Pelodiscus sinensis: one gene and its partner. The protein of the gene in region 1 interacts with the protein of each later gene in a pairwise test. Links are inferred from orthologs where the notes say so. Each region holds a gene or a part of one and is shown in the gene's direction. Other genes may lie near its edges.

What was found.
Region 2: the proteins of EEA1 (region 1) and RAB5B interact in binary tests that used the Homo sapiens proteins (3 or more experiments, as listed by UniProt). The link is inferred for Pelodiscus sinensis from reciprocal best matches to the Homo sapiens genes EEA1 and RAB5B.

The regions. Positions count from the first base shown.
Region 1 is NC_134711.1:79,636,863-79,645,100, reverse strand, and holds the start of EEA1 (early endosome antigen 1), read left to right. Parts: upstream 1-5,052; 5' UTR 5,053-5,061; coding exon 5,062-5,147; intron 5,148-6,112; coding exon 6,113-6,218; intron 6,219-8,238. UniProt on the Homo sapiens protein: Binds phospholipid vesicles containing phosphatidylinositol 3-phosphate and participates in endosomal trafficking.
Region 2 is NC_134729.1:4,309,752-4,317,504, reverse strand, and holds the start of RAB5B (ras-related protein Rab-5B), read left to right. Parts: upstream 1-4,594; coding exon 4,595-4,757; intron 4,758-6,354; coding exon 6,355-6,506; intron 6,507-6,722; coding exon 6,723-6,845; intron 6,846-7,753. UniProt on the Homo sapiens protein: The small GTPases Rab are key regulators of intracellular membrane trafficking, from the formation of transport vesicles to their fusion with membranes.

The DNA.
Region 1 (8,238 bases):
GAATAAAGCATATTTCAAAATTGTTATTTTGAAATAGCGTGAGTGTGGATGCTCAGCTGCTGCTATTTTGAAATAATTAGCCTCCAGAGGCCTCTCACAGTCGCACTTGTGGCTGCTCTGGCCACAGACCTAACGTCTCCACTGCCCACCTTCTCCTGCAGAGCTTCAAGCATCAGGCTTAAGGAAAAGGGCTTTTGGCACGTGTGGACCTTTTACAGCCCCATGCCACACAGCACCTATCCCAGGAGCCCTGTTTGACACCAGCACTCCCTCTGAACCCCCCACAGCTGCCAGTCTCCCACACCACCATCGGCTGCCCTGGCCAGGGACAAAAGAGGGCACAGGCCTGGACTGGTGTGGAGATCCTGGACCTCATTGAGGTCTGGCATGAAGAGACCAACCTCTAGGATCTCTGTACCAGGAGGGGAAATGCTGATGTCTGTGGCTGGTTGGCCGCCAGTCTGGCTGAAATAGGACACACGCAGACCCTCATCCGGGTCCGCATGAAAAGAAAAGAGCTCTGGCAGGCCTACAAAAATCCCAGGGAGCAAACTGGATGCTCTGGGGCAGCTCCTCACACCTGTTGCTATTACGAACAGCTGGATGCAGGTCACCTCTCCGGACACCTTTTGTCATCGAGTCCAGCCAGGATATGCCCAGCATCAGCCTCCACGAGGGCGGGGTTGTGAAGGACAAGGATGAGAAGGAGAAGGAGCAGGCCACCATGCCCGTCTGCTAGGAGCTGCTCCTCATCCTGGAGCCAGTCCTCTCCTCCCAGGATTTCTCCTCTCAGGATGTCTACCAGGCCTCAGATGATCCTGGCGAAGGCACTTCTGTTAGTTCTATAACTTTCCCTATGCACATGTGGGGTAGGTGGCACGCTGTGAAGAGCTGTGTGCTCCTCGCTTAACCTCCTCAGCCTGGGGAGGGAGGGGGGGTTTGCACAACAACCTGTGCACATGCGTGCACATGGAGTGCCAGTCCAGAGCATTCAGCTCCATGATGCTCTCACACAGGAACCCCTCGGTCCTTCTCACAAGGTTCCTGGAGAGTCCTGCCTTATTCTGGCCTCCATGGTGGGACACACCTTCCCATAAAAGCCACCACTATGGAGCATTGGGTCATGGAACCACACAGCAGTGCTGCACATGGCACAAGGTCATGCTCGCACTCAAGCAGCATCCTTTCCTGGTCAAGTGCGGCGATGAGGAGACCGATCTCGTGATGGGAACCTGCCTGAAGAAAGAAGAGGAAGGGATCCCAGTAATACTCTCTCTGGCAAGCAGCCTCTGCTGCTCACGCACACCTGCCCCAACACTGCTTCCCCTTCCTTCAATGGGCAGGGATAGAAGTTCTCTCTCTCTGCAATCAGAAGACCTGTCATTTTCCTGGCTTTGTGACCATGAGCAAGTCCCTTCACTTCTGTGTGCCTCTGTTTCCCTACCTATAAAACAGAGATCATTCAGGTGTCATTTATTGTTCCCATTTTACAAGGTGGGAGACTCAGTTGGGACCTGCCTACACTACAGGACTGTAATGCATTTGTTATCCATTGATCTCCCCATGTGTTGTTCAGAGCCTATGGATAACACAGCTCCTGAGCATGTGTTCTGTGCTTAGCCTCAGTGTAAGAGCAGGGCTGGAAGGCCTTTTCCTGTTGAGCTGTAAGGAGCAGGTACTTGGTACTAGGGCTCTGAAGAGGCTCTCAAGAATTAATTGTTTTAATAATTGCTATCAATGAACTGGAAGCCAGTATAAAACCACTGCTGGTAACAGATGTGGGTAACAAAATGGTAGCAGAGAGGTAAATAAGGCTGAGGCCAGGACAATGATATAGAGCAATCTGGATCCCTTGGGAAGCTGGAGACATGCAAATAAAACAGATTTGCCAGAGCCAAATGCAAAACCCTTGCCCTAGTCCAAAAGCATGCAGGCCACACCCCAAGAATGGGGAATTATATTCAAGCAAGCTGGGATTCTGAAAAAGATTTAGGTGCCATGCCAGGCAAGCTGCTCAACTGGAGATCGCAGGGTGGTTCTATGGTAAACTGGGCTAAAGCCATCATTAGACACATGAGTAGAGGAGTGAGCAGGGCAGGAAGGTGACATGGCATCCATGAGACTGAGACTGGAATATTGCCTGTTCTAGGAGCCACATTTTAAAAAGATGTTTAAAAATTGCAGATGGGGCAGCAAAGAGCCACATGCTTTGAGAGCTGGAGAAAAATGACTTCTTGTGAGCTACTGAAAGGACCTCAATGTGTTTAGCTTCTACAAAAGAGGCTGAAAGGTGACTTCATTGAAGTGTCTAAGTGCCTTCCTGGAGAGAACATGTCAGCCATTAAATGGCTGTTTAATGTTGTAGAGAAAGGCAGAATAAGGCCAGTGGCTGGAAGGTGAAACTAAAAATAGGGCACAAATATTTCACAGTGAGGGTGCTTTGCTATTGGAATAAACTACTGAAGTAAATGATTGGTTCTCTATTTCTAGAGGTTTCTAATGAATACTGCATGTCTTTTTGGTATGTGCTTGGATCAAAACTTAGCTACTGTTATATACAGGAGGGTTGGGATACGCAGAGATCAGACTTGATGCTCTCATGGTCCCTTCTGACCTTTTAAAATCTACTAATTAATGAAAAACTGTGTGTGGCACTGGGAGCAGCCTCTAGGGCTTTGCTGTGCAGCTGGCTTCATCCCCAGTCTCAGCTATCAGTAAATTGGATCATCCAGGGGAAGCCACTCAAACATCCAAAAAGGACACCAGCCTTATACAGGGGCATGGCAGTCACATCACAAAGGCCTGTTACAGGACCCCAGCCTATTGAGGAAAACTGGAAAGGAGATGGTGACCTCATAGAGAGACCCTGACATCAGCCAGGCAGAACAGAAGCGCATGGCAGGGCAACGTCAGACACTCCCATGGCTCTGCGGCAGCAAGGCTCCTTCTTAAGGTCTCTTCTTGGGGACTGAGAGAGAATTAGGATTTATCTATGTGAGCATGAGGAACCTCTGCCAGAGTTTTCTCCTTCCCTACTATGGTTTTTGTAGTCCCTGTTTAGAAGGTAAGAGCCTCAGAGAGGTTTGGAACCTATTTTGTCTAATCCACCTGGAAACTAGCTGAATTCTAGACCCAGAAATCACTCAGTTAAGGTGATCTGATTTCCTACCAAGGACTCTGTCCTGTAGAATCACTGGGGTTATTGGGGGTTTGTCCTTTTTAGTTTCCCTTTTCCTCTTTCCTTCCTTCTCTTGACCCTCTTCCTTTCATCCCTCTTTCCACCAATGAGGGGTGTACCGGTGTGTGTTGATATGTGTATATATAAGGGGACTGTTAGCCCCTTACGAAAACTCTGTGGGAGTTTTTGGTTTGCCAGCTCCCAGTATCAAAAGGGGAAGGGTCCATGAGAAATCAGGGCCCTGAGACTGACAGACCCCAGAGACAATGGAAAGCAGCCAACCCTCCAGCTTGGCCTGATTGACAGGTTGGACAGGCCAGTAAGGAAAGTAAGAGGCCAAGCCCCATCCTCCTCCGTGGGAGCTGGAATTTTTCTGGGTCTCTCTAAGCAAGGAAAGAGAGCTAAGAGGAGAAAGCTGTGTGGAGAGGCAGTCCTGCAGCAACAGAGCCAGGCACACACAGCCCAAGGAGCGCAGACCCAGTGTTGAGCAGCAGACTGGCAGTGATCAGAGAGCCAAAGGGGACAGAGAAGCAACACAAGGAGCTGGAGACTGGCAAAGCAGCACAGCCTGCAGCTGGGTGTGGTGAGCAGCTGGGACCAGCAAAGTGGGGGGGAGAGGCTCTGGGCAGGGAGACACCACCAGTCAAGAGGCCCAGCAGGCCAGACTGGGAGAGAGGTCTTGCCACCTAGAGCCTGAGGCCATGTGGTCACTGCCAGAGCAAGCGTGTCCAGCCTGTAGCCCCCTGCAGCACGGTCAGGATCTATAAGGGACCTATAAGGAACAGACTGTGAACTGTCCCTACACTCTGCAAACTGCTGTTTTGATGTCCCCATGCTACAGAGCAGGACTGTGTGTTCTCATTTACCCATTCTCATTTTTTCTTATTCTTTTCTCTTTAATCAGTTGATGTTTAATAAATTGTATTTGCTTTGAACTTTATGAAATGATCGCTGGGCCAAGAAAGCATGCAGTGTGAAGAGAGCACCCCGGAGTGGGGACACCCTATCCCTTGCCCCAAGTGACTACAAGGTTGGGGATTAAGCCCCAGGAAACCTGGGCCCAGCCTTCTTGGGCTTTCAAGGACTCTGCTACTCAGGAGAGTGGAAGGGGAGCCCTCAGGATCAGGGAGGCCGTGAGGTAAAGGAAGGGGGAGCAGGGACTCAGATCCTTTCGTTGGTCCATTTCACTGGGGTAGTATAGAAGCCAGGAAAGTTCCCCACAATAGCGGGACCATTCCCCCGCTTACATGTAGGAGGATGCTGTCACTGTGGGAGGTCCTCACAAAGAGGTGGGGCTGGAATTTCTCAGAGACAGATCTCCTCTGGTGGTAATCTGGGCTATCCTTCAGGACATCTGCTGAGACCCCTCCTCATCCCACCTCTCAGAGTCTCGATGCTGATTGATAGAGCCCTGCAAATCCACTTTATATCTGTGGGTACCCAAACCTGCAGATGTGAATGCGGATATCCGCCGCTTATTTTTGTGGATACAGATGCGGATATGGATATACATTTTGTATCCATGCAGGGCTATACTGATTGACCAAGAAAGACTCAGGCCCTTTTGTTCTCCTTTAAGACCAAACAAATAAATCACAAGCAATCATGTATTTGATTGTGTTGCTTTCCTCCATTTATTGTCTCTGTGCAATTCCTGATGCTCTCTAATGCGCCAGTTCTTTTGAAATACTTGCAGAATGAGGACTATGAACAATTGTTGGTCTGTAGCTCACTAAGAGCACTTTATTCTGATGAGTCTGTGTCCCCCAATGGGCTGGCTGGGGGGGGGGGGAGGCAGGACATCAGCCTTGCTGGGTATGGGTGAGTGTGGAAGTGACATCACAAAGGCTTATTGCAGGATCTTAGCCTATTAGAGAAAGTGTATGTGTATGGGGGGGGGGGGTGACCTTGCCAAGAGACCCAGACTTCAGCCAGGCTGGACAGTGAGGCAAGGCAGAGACAACTTCAGGTACCCTTCTTATGGCTTTGTGGGAGGCCCTCCCAAAAAGGTGGGGCTGGAAGAGTGCTCTGAGACTGATTCCCCCTAGTGGTGACCTGGGCCATTCTTTGGGATGTCGGGTGAGACCTCTCAGAGTCTTGATGCTGAATGGCTGAGCAGGGGCTAGTGCGTGGAGGAGAAGTTTTCCCAGTTTCCCAATTGTGACCCCTGGCTGCCCTTCCTTTGTAGGCTGTGCATAAGGTCTTGTCTGACCTTAGGCATGCCATGCTGGGAAACAGACAAGCTCCAATACATCTTGGAGGTGAGCATGATCAGGAGAGGCAGGAGACAGTTTTACTTTAGTGCTTGGGAGAACTGGAAAGGAGAAATTGGAAATCCATTTTCCAGTTTGTCATCCTAGCTTGCACCCCATTGGGTCATCCTTGGTCAGGGCAATCAGTGCAGAGCTATGCGGGTCCCTTCGTCTGTCAGGGACAGGGAAGGGAGTTGGAACTTCAAGTCAAGGCTCAGGCTGGCTTTGAGAGTGACAGTCTTAAACCTCCCACCTCTTCCCAAGTTCCCTCTGTACCCACATGAAATGCAGGAGATGATGCTCATGGAATAGTCACAGACTCCTTCCTAGAGATCCATGAGGGCTCAGAGGGATTCAGCTTTTCTCTCGTACTGGCACTGAGATTCAGGAGAGGGAGGGAGGGGTCCTCATAGTCACTCCCTTCATCTGAATAAGGACTTTTGAGCCAGGGAGGAGCAAGTGGGCTATATCCATCCAGATGAGCTGTTCATAAATGAGTTCAGAAAGAACAAGACCAGCCCAGACACCAAGCATTGTCCCAGTCTACAGAGACAAAGACACATTGTGACAATCCCCTTCTCAAGCACCATGACCACAATGTCTCAGCCCCAAGAATGAGCATGGGCTTGTTTGCACAGCATGTGCACCAGTCTATTAATCCTGACCTGCTTCCTTCCACCAGAGCCTACCAATTTCTACATCAGGTCCAGTGTCCCAGGAGAGAGCCAAGGCCATATGGAGCAGCAGAGCCCTGTTCTGATTCACCATCATCCTCCCTGAATTTGATGGTAAGTGACCTCTGAGCCCGGCTCCCTGACTCCAGCTGTAGGCAGGCTGGCTCCCACAGGATCGGCAGTTGCAGAGGCTGTGGGTTGGCACCATTTCCCTTGGGAAGGAAGAGTCAGAGCAAGGAATGAGAGAGACTTGAGTCAAGTTCATCTTCTCCTGGGTCAATGAAGACTCTGGACGTTTAAAGGGACCATGTTCCAACACCTGCTTCAGCCAGGTTCATGTCTGGCCTTGGGTCCCTTCTTGTTGTCCTGGAGCAGCTGGGAATAAAAGTCCTTATGGAGGGCCCTGTCCACATCCCTTTGTTCCAGGATCCTTTGGGGGCAGAAGAAACTGAGGATCTATCTCTAGCTTCTCTCCCCTGGTGTCTCCTGCAGAAAGACTTGGGGGAGAAAGACTTCCTGTCCTGTGGAAGATTGGGATCTGACAGGAGAATGCTGATGAAGCCTCCTCTTCTCCTCCATTAGAACTCAGCATAGTTCCCCAAACTAGGGAACTTGGTGGTTTGGCTGTCACTGTACATCAGTGACCCAGCCAAGGACATCAGTCGACTGACCAGGGAGGGGATTTGATGGCTCTACAAACTGCTGCTACATCACAGGCAAGGAAACCCAGCTTGAAAATAGAACTCAATAGAAGTGACACTAATCAAAAACAGGCAATGGGACCCGTAAAGAAATGACCCCCCTCATTGGCCCCAGCTGGAGGATGAGTCTATATCTCCTTCCCATACTTAGTTTAGGATCAATCCCACCTCTTCAGGCATCCAAGTGTATGCCACTCACCGTAGGGAGCTCTGCTATTCTATTGGGGCAGGGATGCAACCCAATGGGAATGGAAGAAAAGCTTCCAAAACCAGACAGAGAAATCTACCAAAAAGAAGCTGCTAAGGAACAGCTATCATAGGTAGATGGAGGAAATGAAGGCAGGAGCTCCTCCTACCGTGGGACAAGGGGTCCCTGGCACTAGAGGTCACTAGAGAAGAAGATGAATTTATCCCAGGGTGTCAGTTGCCATTAATCCTCCCAGATTCCTGGGGGCAGCCAAGTCTCTGACAAGTCCTTGTTCTTTTGAGACAGGAGGACATCATGGCCAAGGTGATGTGCCAGCTCCACTTCATCTGATCCTTTCACCAAGTGCCTGAGGTTCTGTGGGGAATGAGCCTTTTAGGGTGCCTCTGATGAGATGTAGAACCCTACACTGGGCCAAGAGGGGTTAGGAAGCAGGCCTAGGATGCTGCCCATCAGGCTCGAGGCTGTCATGGGATGTATGTTCCTGCATGCTAGCTCAGAAACCAAAGGTTTAATACAGGCATTGCCAGACACTGCTGATTGGTAGGCTAACAGCAGCTGGGAGGATCAAAGGGCTAGGAAGGAGACTGGCAGGGCAGCTAAAGAGGAGTGAACAGGCAGAAGAAAGAAACTCGGGCCAGCAGACTGCTAGAGAACCACCCAGGGACAACATCCCTAAAAGGGGCAAAGAGGCCCAACAGACCAAACTCCCTGATGGACCTGAGAACAAAGCAGATTTCCAGATTCCTAGGCATGAGGAGTGGACCTACGCTGATTATTTTCAGGAATAACGGCATTGCACAAGAGGGTTTTTCTTGCGCAAGAAGGGGCAGGGTAGACAGCTCCTTCTTGCGCAAAAGCCTCTTCTGCAAAAATGGTGGCTCAGATATGCAAATGAGGCTCGGCGATATTCCATGCTTAGCCTCATTTGCATAGCTCTGGCGCAAGATTGCGCCAGTGTAGACATAGCCAAGGTGTGTGCATGGGGTAACAATACAGCACAAAGGAAATAACCAAGCTCTCAAAAGTAATTAAAAAACATGTTAAAGAAGCAGTTTAAAAATACTGAAAAACCAGGGAGGTAAAAATACCTATTATATAGCGATTATAAATAAATACTAATTACTTAACTAAGTTCTCATACTATGAAGCAGTCTTACAATTTGGGAGCGCATGGTCTATCCATCCTGTCATGTAACATATTCAAGGCTAGTAATCTTTGCTTCCA
Region 2 (7,753 bases), on another chromosome or scaffold:
CAGTGGTCTCTGGGCACTAGTAGTACTGGGTGCCTTCATGGCCTGTGTTGGTTTGTCTGCTCTTGTGAGGTGTGTGCACACCTCACTTCAAAAGGCTTTGAAGAAGGTTGTCTTGTGGGAGGGAAACCTGAGTAACAGAAAAAACCCGAAGAAGCTGTTAGGTGCTATTGTGCAGGTTGAATGTTCTTGTGCATGACATGCAGGGCTGTCAGACTGTCTGCAGCTCTGCCAGACTCGCTTTATGACCAGGGCAAAGCCACTTCATGTCTGAGCTTTCCCTTCCTCCTCTCTGAAATGGAGATGCTACTCATGGGGTATTTGGAGGCTTCATTCAGATAAGCTGGTGAAGGGCTTTGAGAGCCTGGGGCTGGAAGGCCCTGTGGTTGAGAGAGGACAACTTTTATCTGGTACCAATTTAGTAGGCACTTAAGCACAAAGATGCTGAAACAAGCTCAGATAAACTTAGGAGCTGAAAAGTGTCCCTAGATTAGGCTCTCCTAGCCACCTCTCCGGGAAAGCTCTGGTGCTTTGGGGAACTAATGAATTCAGAGCCTCACAAGGAAGTGAAAAGTTGCAGCAATTGAGGAGAAGGGATTTTTTGTTGGAATGGTCACAGCATCCGTGTTTCACTTACTGCACAGTCTCAGGGGGAGGAGAGAATCATTTATTAAGATGGAACAACTGGGGCACTGCAGCTTAGACCTCCAGCATAGAGGGAAAGCCGGAGACATTCCTGATTTCTGTGGAGCCTTCAAAGGAGGGTATGTCTACACTACAGGGTTGTTTTTTTTCTGGAAAAACAGAACTTCACTTGTATTCACACTTGTATTCACACTGCAGTCGCGTTCTTTTGAAAGAAAATCGAAAGAACAGAGAGGGGGTTTCCGACGTTGGTAAATCTCTTTCTACGAGGAAGAAGTCTTTTTCCAGAAGAGCTCTTTCAGAAAAAGGCGTGTGTGGATGGGGAAAAGGGAGTTTTTTTCGCAAGAAGAGGGGGGAAAAAGCACAGGTGCCCTAGGGGCCCATAGTAATCACAGCTTAAATGTGAGAGAGCATCTGTTCAGTGTGGACGCTATCTTTTGAAAAAGCAAATCGCTTTTTCAATGTGCTTTGGCAGTGTAGATGCTCTTTTTCGGAAGTTCTCTTCCGGAAAAGCTTCTTCTGAAAGAAGCCTGCAGTCTAGACATAGCCGGAGAAATCATTTAAAAAAAAAAAAAAAAAAAAAAGCAAACCCCAAACAAACCACCCTTTGTAGGTCCCCTCTAAGGATCTGTGGTGATGGGTTTTACAGTGAGGTGGTCCTGTTGTCAAATACTCCCTCTTTCTCTGAAGTTTCCTTCATGTTTAGCCTCTTGGGACTTGCTTAAGCCAGCAGACACAGTACCGGTCACTGTAACTAACTAGCGATTGGCAGGTTGAGATGATGGGGTGACCAGCAATACACCCTTTGGGATAAGTAATGGGAGTGTCTTCAGTTGGAGAAGCCCGGTATTCTGTGGCTACCGCAGGCTAGACATCCAAAGGAGATTGGCTCATCGTGGGAGGAGGCACTGAGGACTTTCAAATCTGGCCCCAACTGTAGTTGCTACTCACTAATATTTCACCCTCTGTCTAAATCTTTGTCCTTATATGAATCATAGAGCTGGAAGAGATCTCAGAAGGTCATAGAGTCTAACCTCCTGCCCTAGGCAGGCCTGATCCCAACTAAATCAACCCAGCAAGGGCTTTGTCAAGCCGAGACTTTAAAATCTCTAGGGATGGAGACTCTGCTACTTCCCTAGGTAACCCATTTCAGTGATTCGCCACTCTCCTAGTGAAATAGTTTTTCTGAATACCCAACCTGGACCTCGCCCAGTTGAAGCTCTAACCCTGCATCCATGCAGCCTGGGTTTTTCCAGAATCACTGCTGCTTCTCCAGAATCAGGCAGGACTCTCCCTCAGAAACTCCCATCGGATATGGATGAGGTCACTGCTTAATCATTTCCCCCTCACATAGTTAACGAAGTCATCAAAGTGGAAGGAAGCATTTCCCTGTCTTTAGCCAACTCAGCTCCAGGAAACCCGAATGCGCAGTACTTGGGTTGCTACCAGGCAGCTTTGGCCATCATGGGCTTTGAAACCTTTTCCTGTTGTTCTTGGATTCTTGCTTTAGAAAACATGAAATGGTGACCTTCATGGAACTGGGAGGTATGGGGCTGCCCAGCATTTGGTTTGTACACAATGCTGTGGTTACACTTAGCATTTTCTGCTATCTTTTGCCCTTTACTCTGCTTGTATCAAAGCATGTGGGGAATGGGAAATGTCAAGATCTAAAGCCACCAGCCCAATTGTCTGTACTTTGGGAAACTCAGCTCAGCGGTCACCGGTGCTGACTGTGGAACCCAGAAATGGGCTTTGAAGAGTTCATCCTTCAAATCCCAGCAGCCAGTAGGCAAACCACACGTTTTGCTAAATCCCCCCTGGCTCATTGGTGGTGGTAATAACTCACTGAAATAAAGGGTTGAGATGTGCCTCACTTAACACTAATCCGTTAAATGGTGAAATAAACAGACTCTGGAGTTTAATGCTGTTGCCTTCCATTGCTCCCGATATGTGTTTTTTGCGGTTACTAACGTACCAAAGCAGACAGAGCTATTTGAATTAACAGTTTGGCTACATTGCTTTCTAAGGGGATTCCAGTAAGAAATCATCACTAGTATGCATGTGTTTTGAGCTCTTAAAATGCATTTCATGTCTGGTCAAAGGAACTCCTCTTGCAGGCTCCTAGTTGAAATCCTGAGAAACCGTAGGGGCTTGAACTCTCAGCTACTGGCAGAAGGAAGGCATTGGCTACAGGCATGCTGGAACCAAGACAAGAGGCTGTAGTTCACAAATTGATGCATGGACGCAGATGTGTGGGAGCTTATTTCAGATGCTGTCCATTTCAATTAGCACCCCCTTCCCCATACCCTTTGTGGCCAACACTTGAAATAGAATCTTCTATTATTGATTGTACAGCTGTGAATTAAAACAGGTCTCGCTTTCTAGACTCTGACTTGCATACAGACAAACCTAGACTCTCCTGCCTCATCTAAACGCGTACCTGTCAAACTATTGCAAACCTCTGGCTGCTTCAGGTATCAGTGGCTTATTTAGGTTTAGTTTAAACCTATTCCTAGTTGACTTCACTTAAACTGTAATAAGCTGTTCACACAGCCTCTGGCACAATTTAAAAACAGTGAATGGTCCTGCAGCACCTTAGACTAAAAAAACATGCAGCTAGTATGAGCTTTCAGGAGAGACACTGGTGTTTTATCTGAAAAAGTGGGTTCAGTTAAACCAGAATAACTCCGGATGTAGAGTCAGCGTTCTGTCTCCCCATTTGTTCCTCCTCAGAACTCCCAGCCATATGGTTTGATTGTTTGGGTTTTTTTCACCCACTGCCTGTGGTGGGGGAAGGAATCTTTGGTTATGGACAGTCGCTATGTGACAGAGACCAGGGTCTTGTCAGTTTCACTCTTACCTGTGAAAAGGCTCTTGCACAGATCTGCAGCAAAGCTTTAAAATGGGAGGAGGGAGGCTGGGAAGAGAACATGGTCTGCCTATAGCCCCTGTGTGGGATAACGTGAGAGTGGGGAATCTCAGAATACTTAAACAAAAACAGACCAAAGTGTCCCTTGCTTAGGAATTTCCCTTCAGAACTGCAACCCTGAAATAGTTCCATCCCTCTGTCCTGCCCTCAGAGAGCTGGGGGGAGGTGAAAAGCAGATTTGGAATTTCAGGCCACTTGCAACAAACTGAACAGATGTATTCAGGTTGCAAAATGGGGCCGGAGCTTGTTGCTGTGTAACGGAGAGCTCTTGAATCTCCTTTCCTCCTGGAGTAGGTCAGAGGTGCTGCCCTTCCGCCCCAGCCCTCGGTACCACATGGCTCAGCGTGAGCTCCTATCCAGGAGCTGTTGGCTACGTCTCCAGGAATGCAAGTGAGACATCTGCTAGGATTGCTGACTCACTTGCTCTGGTGCACCGGCCACTCGGCTCTAAGGAGCCAGCGTTTTCTTGCCCTCCTTGGACTGATTTCTGCTTGTCAGCTTTCTACTTTTTAAAGCTTGTCTGCCAGTGAGGCTGGGGGAGCAAAGGCCTCTCTGCCTCGGTGTACAGGGAATCGGAACTCTTTGCAGGAAAGGGAGCCTGGCCCAGTAGGTCTAGTGGGCAGGTCAGACTTCGGGGTTCTATGCCTCACTATGCTGCTCAGGAGAAATTCAAATGCCGCCCAGCTGATCAGCAGAGTGCCACTTGCCCCTGTGTCTGGTATTCAAGGCAGTTACTGGTCCCATAAATTGGGGATAAGCCCCTCTTCCGGCTGCTCTCTGCTTCTGTACTAGTGGTGTGAAAAGCAGCTCCATTCAGCTGAGTTGATGGCTGAGGCCAAAGTGCTAGGAGCCCTGTGAACTCCGCAGTATTGTATCTCTGCTGATTCTTCACCTCCTTTTCTGTTTCAGGAGACTTGAGCCAGTAGGATACTGCAAACCCAGCTGCTCCCCTCACAAGAGCTGGTCAGTGGCACAAAGGTTCTCTGATCCGCTGGGGCGCAGGGTGTGACCAGAATCCAGGCCATGACCAGCAGAGGAGCCGCCAGGCCGAATGGTCAGTCCCAAGCTAGTAAAATCTGTCAGTTTAAGCTAGTGCTGCTGGGCGAGTCTGCGGTGGGAAAGTCCAGTCTGGTGCTGCGCTTCGTCAAGGGTCAGTTTCACGAGTACCAGGAGAGCACCATTGGGGGTAAGTGAACGCCAAGAACCATGGGGGAGCGCATGTCGGGTAAACATAGACTTCCCCGGGTTGTCTGGAGCTCCTGGCTTCCCTTGCTCCCCACCGGGGCACCCGCCGCCTGGGGCTGGTCACTTCTGGCCTGTTATCCCTGTGGGCAGCCTTCAGAGGGGCCCAAAGCATGGGGCTAAATGTTGCTGAATTCATGCTCCTTCCAGAGCTACCTGCAGCCTCCCAGTGACTCGCTGGCGCTCCTGGAGGAACCTCATAGTGCGTGTGACGGTGGTGTAGCCAATTCTCGGATCCTGGCTGAGGCAAGACGGCCAGATGCCTCTTGGATTCATAAGTGGCACGTCCGTAGAACGGGTGGTGCGGCAGCGTGGCTAGAGCACTGAAGCAGGAGTTGAGACCTGAGTTCTGTTCCTGGCTTTGCCACAGACCACATGCGAGTCCCTGTCCCCTCTGTGCCTCCCATTGCCCCATCCATAATGTGGAAACCTTCATAGCCCCCCCCCCCCTTTTCATTGAGAGCTCGGAGACCTGTAAAAGAGGAGGGCTGAGTCATCGCAGGGGTGAATCCCCCAGGAGACGTATTTGTGACTCCTTCAGCGCCCAGCAGTGGTTTGACTCTTGGGTTGCTCACCTCCACCACGCTGAGTCTTGGCTGGTGTAGAAACTTCTTAATGCATTTGCTTTCTCTCCACCTGTCTTCCCCTAGCATGGTGGGGGACACCAATAGTGCCTCATGGTGCCATACAAATCCATAGGCACCGATTAGTGCATGGAACTGGGAGCCCAGACACGTGGGTTCTGCTGTGGGCCAAATACCACCCCACTGTGTCCTTTTTTTCTCCCTTTGCAAGAGGGACTCAAGGGTCAGTTAGGTTTGAAAGTCACGGGCAAAGCCTTTTTTTGAAGGGGGATGCAGAGACCCCACCCCCACCCCTCATTACTCTGGCCCTAAGAGCTGCAGGGAATGGAACCAGGCTCTTGAAGGCTTGCCGTCCAGAGGACTTTGGGCCCCCAACTTAACCCTAAAGGATAGTGCACCCTTCTGCAAACCAAGCCCCCTTTAATGTGCTGCTAGTCTCTTTTGAAAAAGGAGGTCATGGTGTCCTGCACGGACTTGTGTTGCATCCCGCACGGAGATGTATTGCCCTGCCTGAGCGCAAACGCTGCTCCAGTTTGGATCTGGCTGTCCCCGCCCCGCACGGGGGGTTGGGAGAAGCTGTCTGTCCAACTCCTTAATGCAGCCACGAGCCCCAGTTCCTCCCCAACACAGGACTGGTTCTTGGTTGTGGTTGGCTGCTTGATCTCCCAAGAAGCATGCAGCTGGTGCACAGCAGCAGGACTTCAGCAGTAGCAGGTGAATGTTAAGGTCCAACTTGAAAGGATTAACCTGCTGCTGTGTGACCTACACCTAGAGAGGCAGCTGGCTCAGAGTCTAGGGTCCTAGAGACCTGGCTTTGTGCCCTTGAGTGAGTCACTGCTCCCTCCCCAGGCTTTGCCTGTCAATCGGCTTAGATTGACAGCTCTTCAGGGCAGGGGTGCGCTCTGCACGGCTCTGAGCCGAGTGCTACTATCCCACTGTCTCCTTTCCTCTCAACAGCGGCGTTTCTCACACAGTCTGTCTGCCTGGATGACACCACAGTAAAGTTTGAGATCTGGGACACAGCCGGCCAGGAGAGATATCACAGTCTGGCCCCCATGTATTATCGGGGGGCCCAAGCTGCCATTGTGGTCTATGACATCACCAACCAGGTACATTTGGCTTTCTCCCTTTGCTTTCCGGTGCTGGGAGCGTGGGGGGGGGGGGCGGGGCGGCGGATGAAACTGTTGTGCTCCAGGAGGAAGGATGGTCTCTCGGCTGAGGCAAGGATCTGGGAAGCCTGGGTTCTGTGTCCGCCTTGACCGCTAAGGGCACGGCATCAGGCAAGGCACTGACTTGAAGCTCCTGTCTCTTGCCTTTCCTTCCAGGAAACGTTTGCCCGAGCGAAGACATGGGTGAAAGAGCTGCAGCGGCAAGCGAGCCCCAACATTGTCATAGCCCTAGCGGGCAACAAGGCCGACCTTGCCAACAAGCGCATGGTAGAATATGAAGTGAGTAGCCAGCATTGATAGCCTTGGCAGAGCCTTCCCAGCCCCCAGCGCTGCCTGACTGCTGCTCCTGGCCTTTGAAACCCTCTTGCTATCTTGCTACAGCAGCTGGGAAGTCTGTCAGCTCTGGCCAGGGGTCAGCCAGCAAGCAGCTCTTGGACAAATGCTACTCTGACCAGCACAGAGGTGTCTCCACCCTGTGCCTCGAGATGGGTCACTGCTTCCGTCTTGCCAGCAGGATACGTTCCTGCTGGTCAAAGGGTAGCTAGCCAGGCCTGTTTAGCACAGCTGAGCCCCTGCGAAGCCTGAGCAGTGTCCTCTCTCTCTCTCTCTCTCTCTCTCTCTCTCTCTCTGCTGCAACCTCTCCGTGCCTCCTTAAGACTAGTTTGCTGCGTCCTGTCTCCAGTCCAGTGGAGATTAATGGTCCATCTCTGGAGCTGCTGGCTTAGCTCCATAGCAGAGGACCTAGGCCTCTTGTGTGGCCACAGGATTCTGGATGATTGTGAAAGGGTGTCATTGGTGAGTTTGGCCATCACTCACCCTTCTCTCACCTTCCAGGTGTGAACCTCCCTGAATGGTGGAACTTACACTTGTAGAACTGGAAGGAACCTCCAAGCCCCATCTAGACCAGTGCTTCGCGAAACAACTTTGGGAAACACATGAACTGGCCGCCCTGGTTTATTAATTTACTGGCGCTGCGGGCAAAGAGCCTCGCGGCTCCCATTGGCGCCATTTCATCCTTTGCAGCCGAGGGGAGCGGTGTGAGCCAGCCCACGCTATTTCCTGTGGCTCTGCTTGGCTACAAAGAGCGAAACGGAGCCAATGGGACCTACAAGGCTCCTTGGCCACGGCGCCAGTAGAAAAACCAGGGCAGCCAGTTACTGTGTTTCTCAAAGTGCTTTCAGAAACAC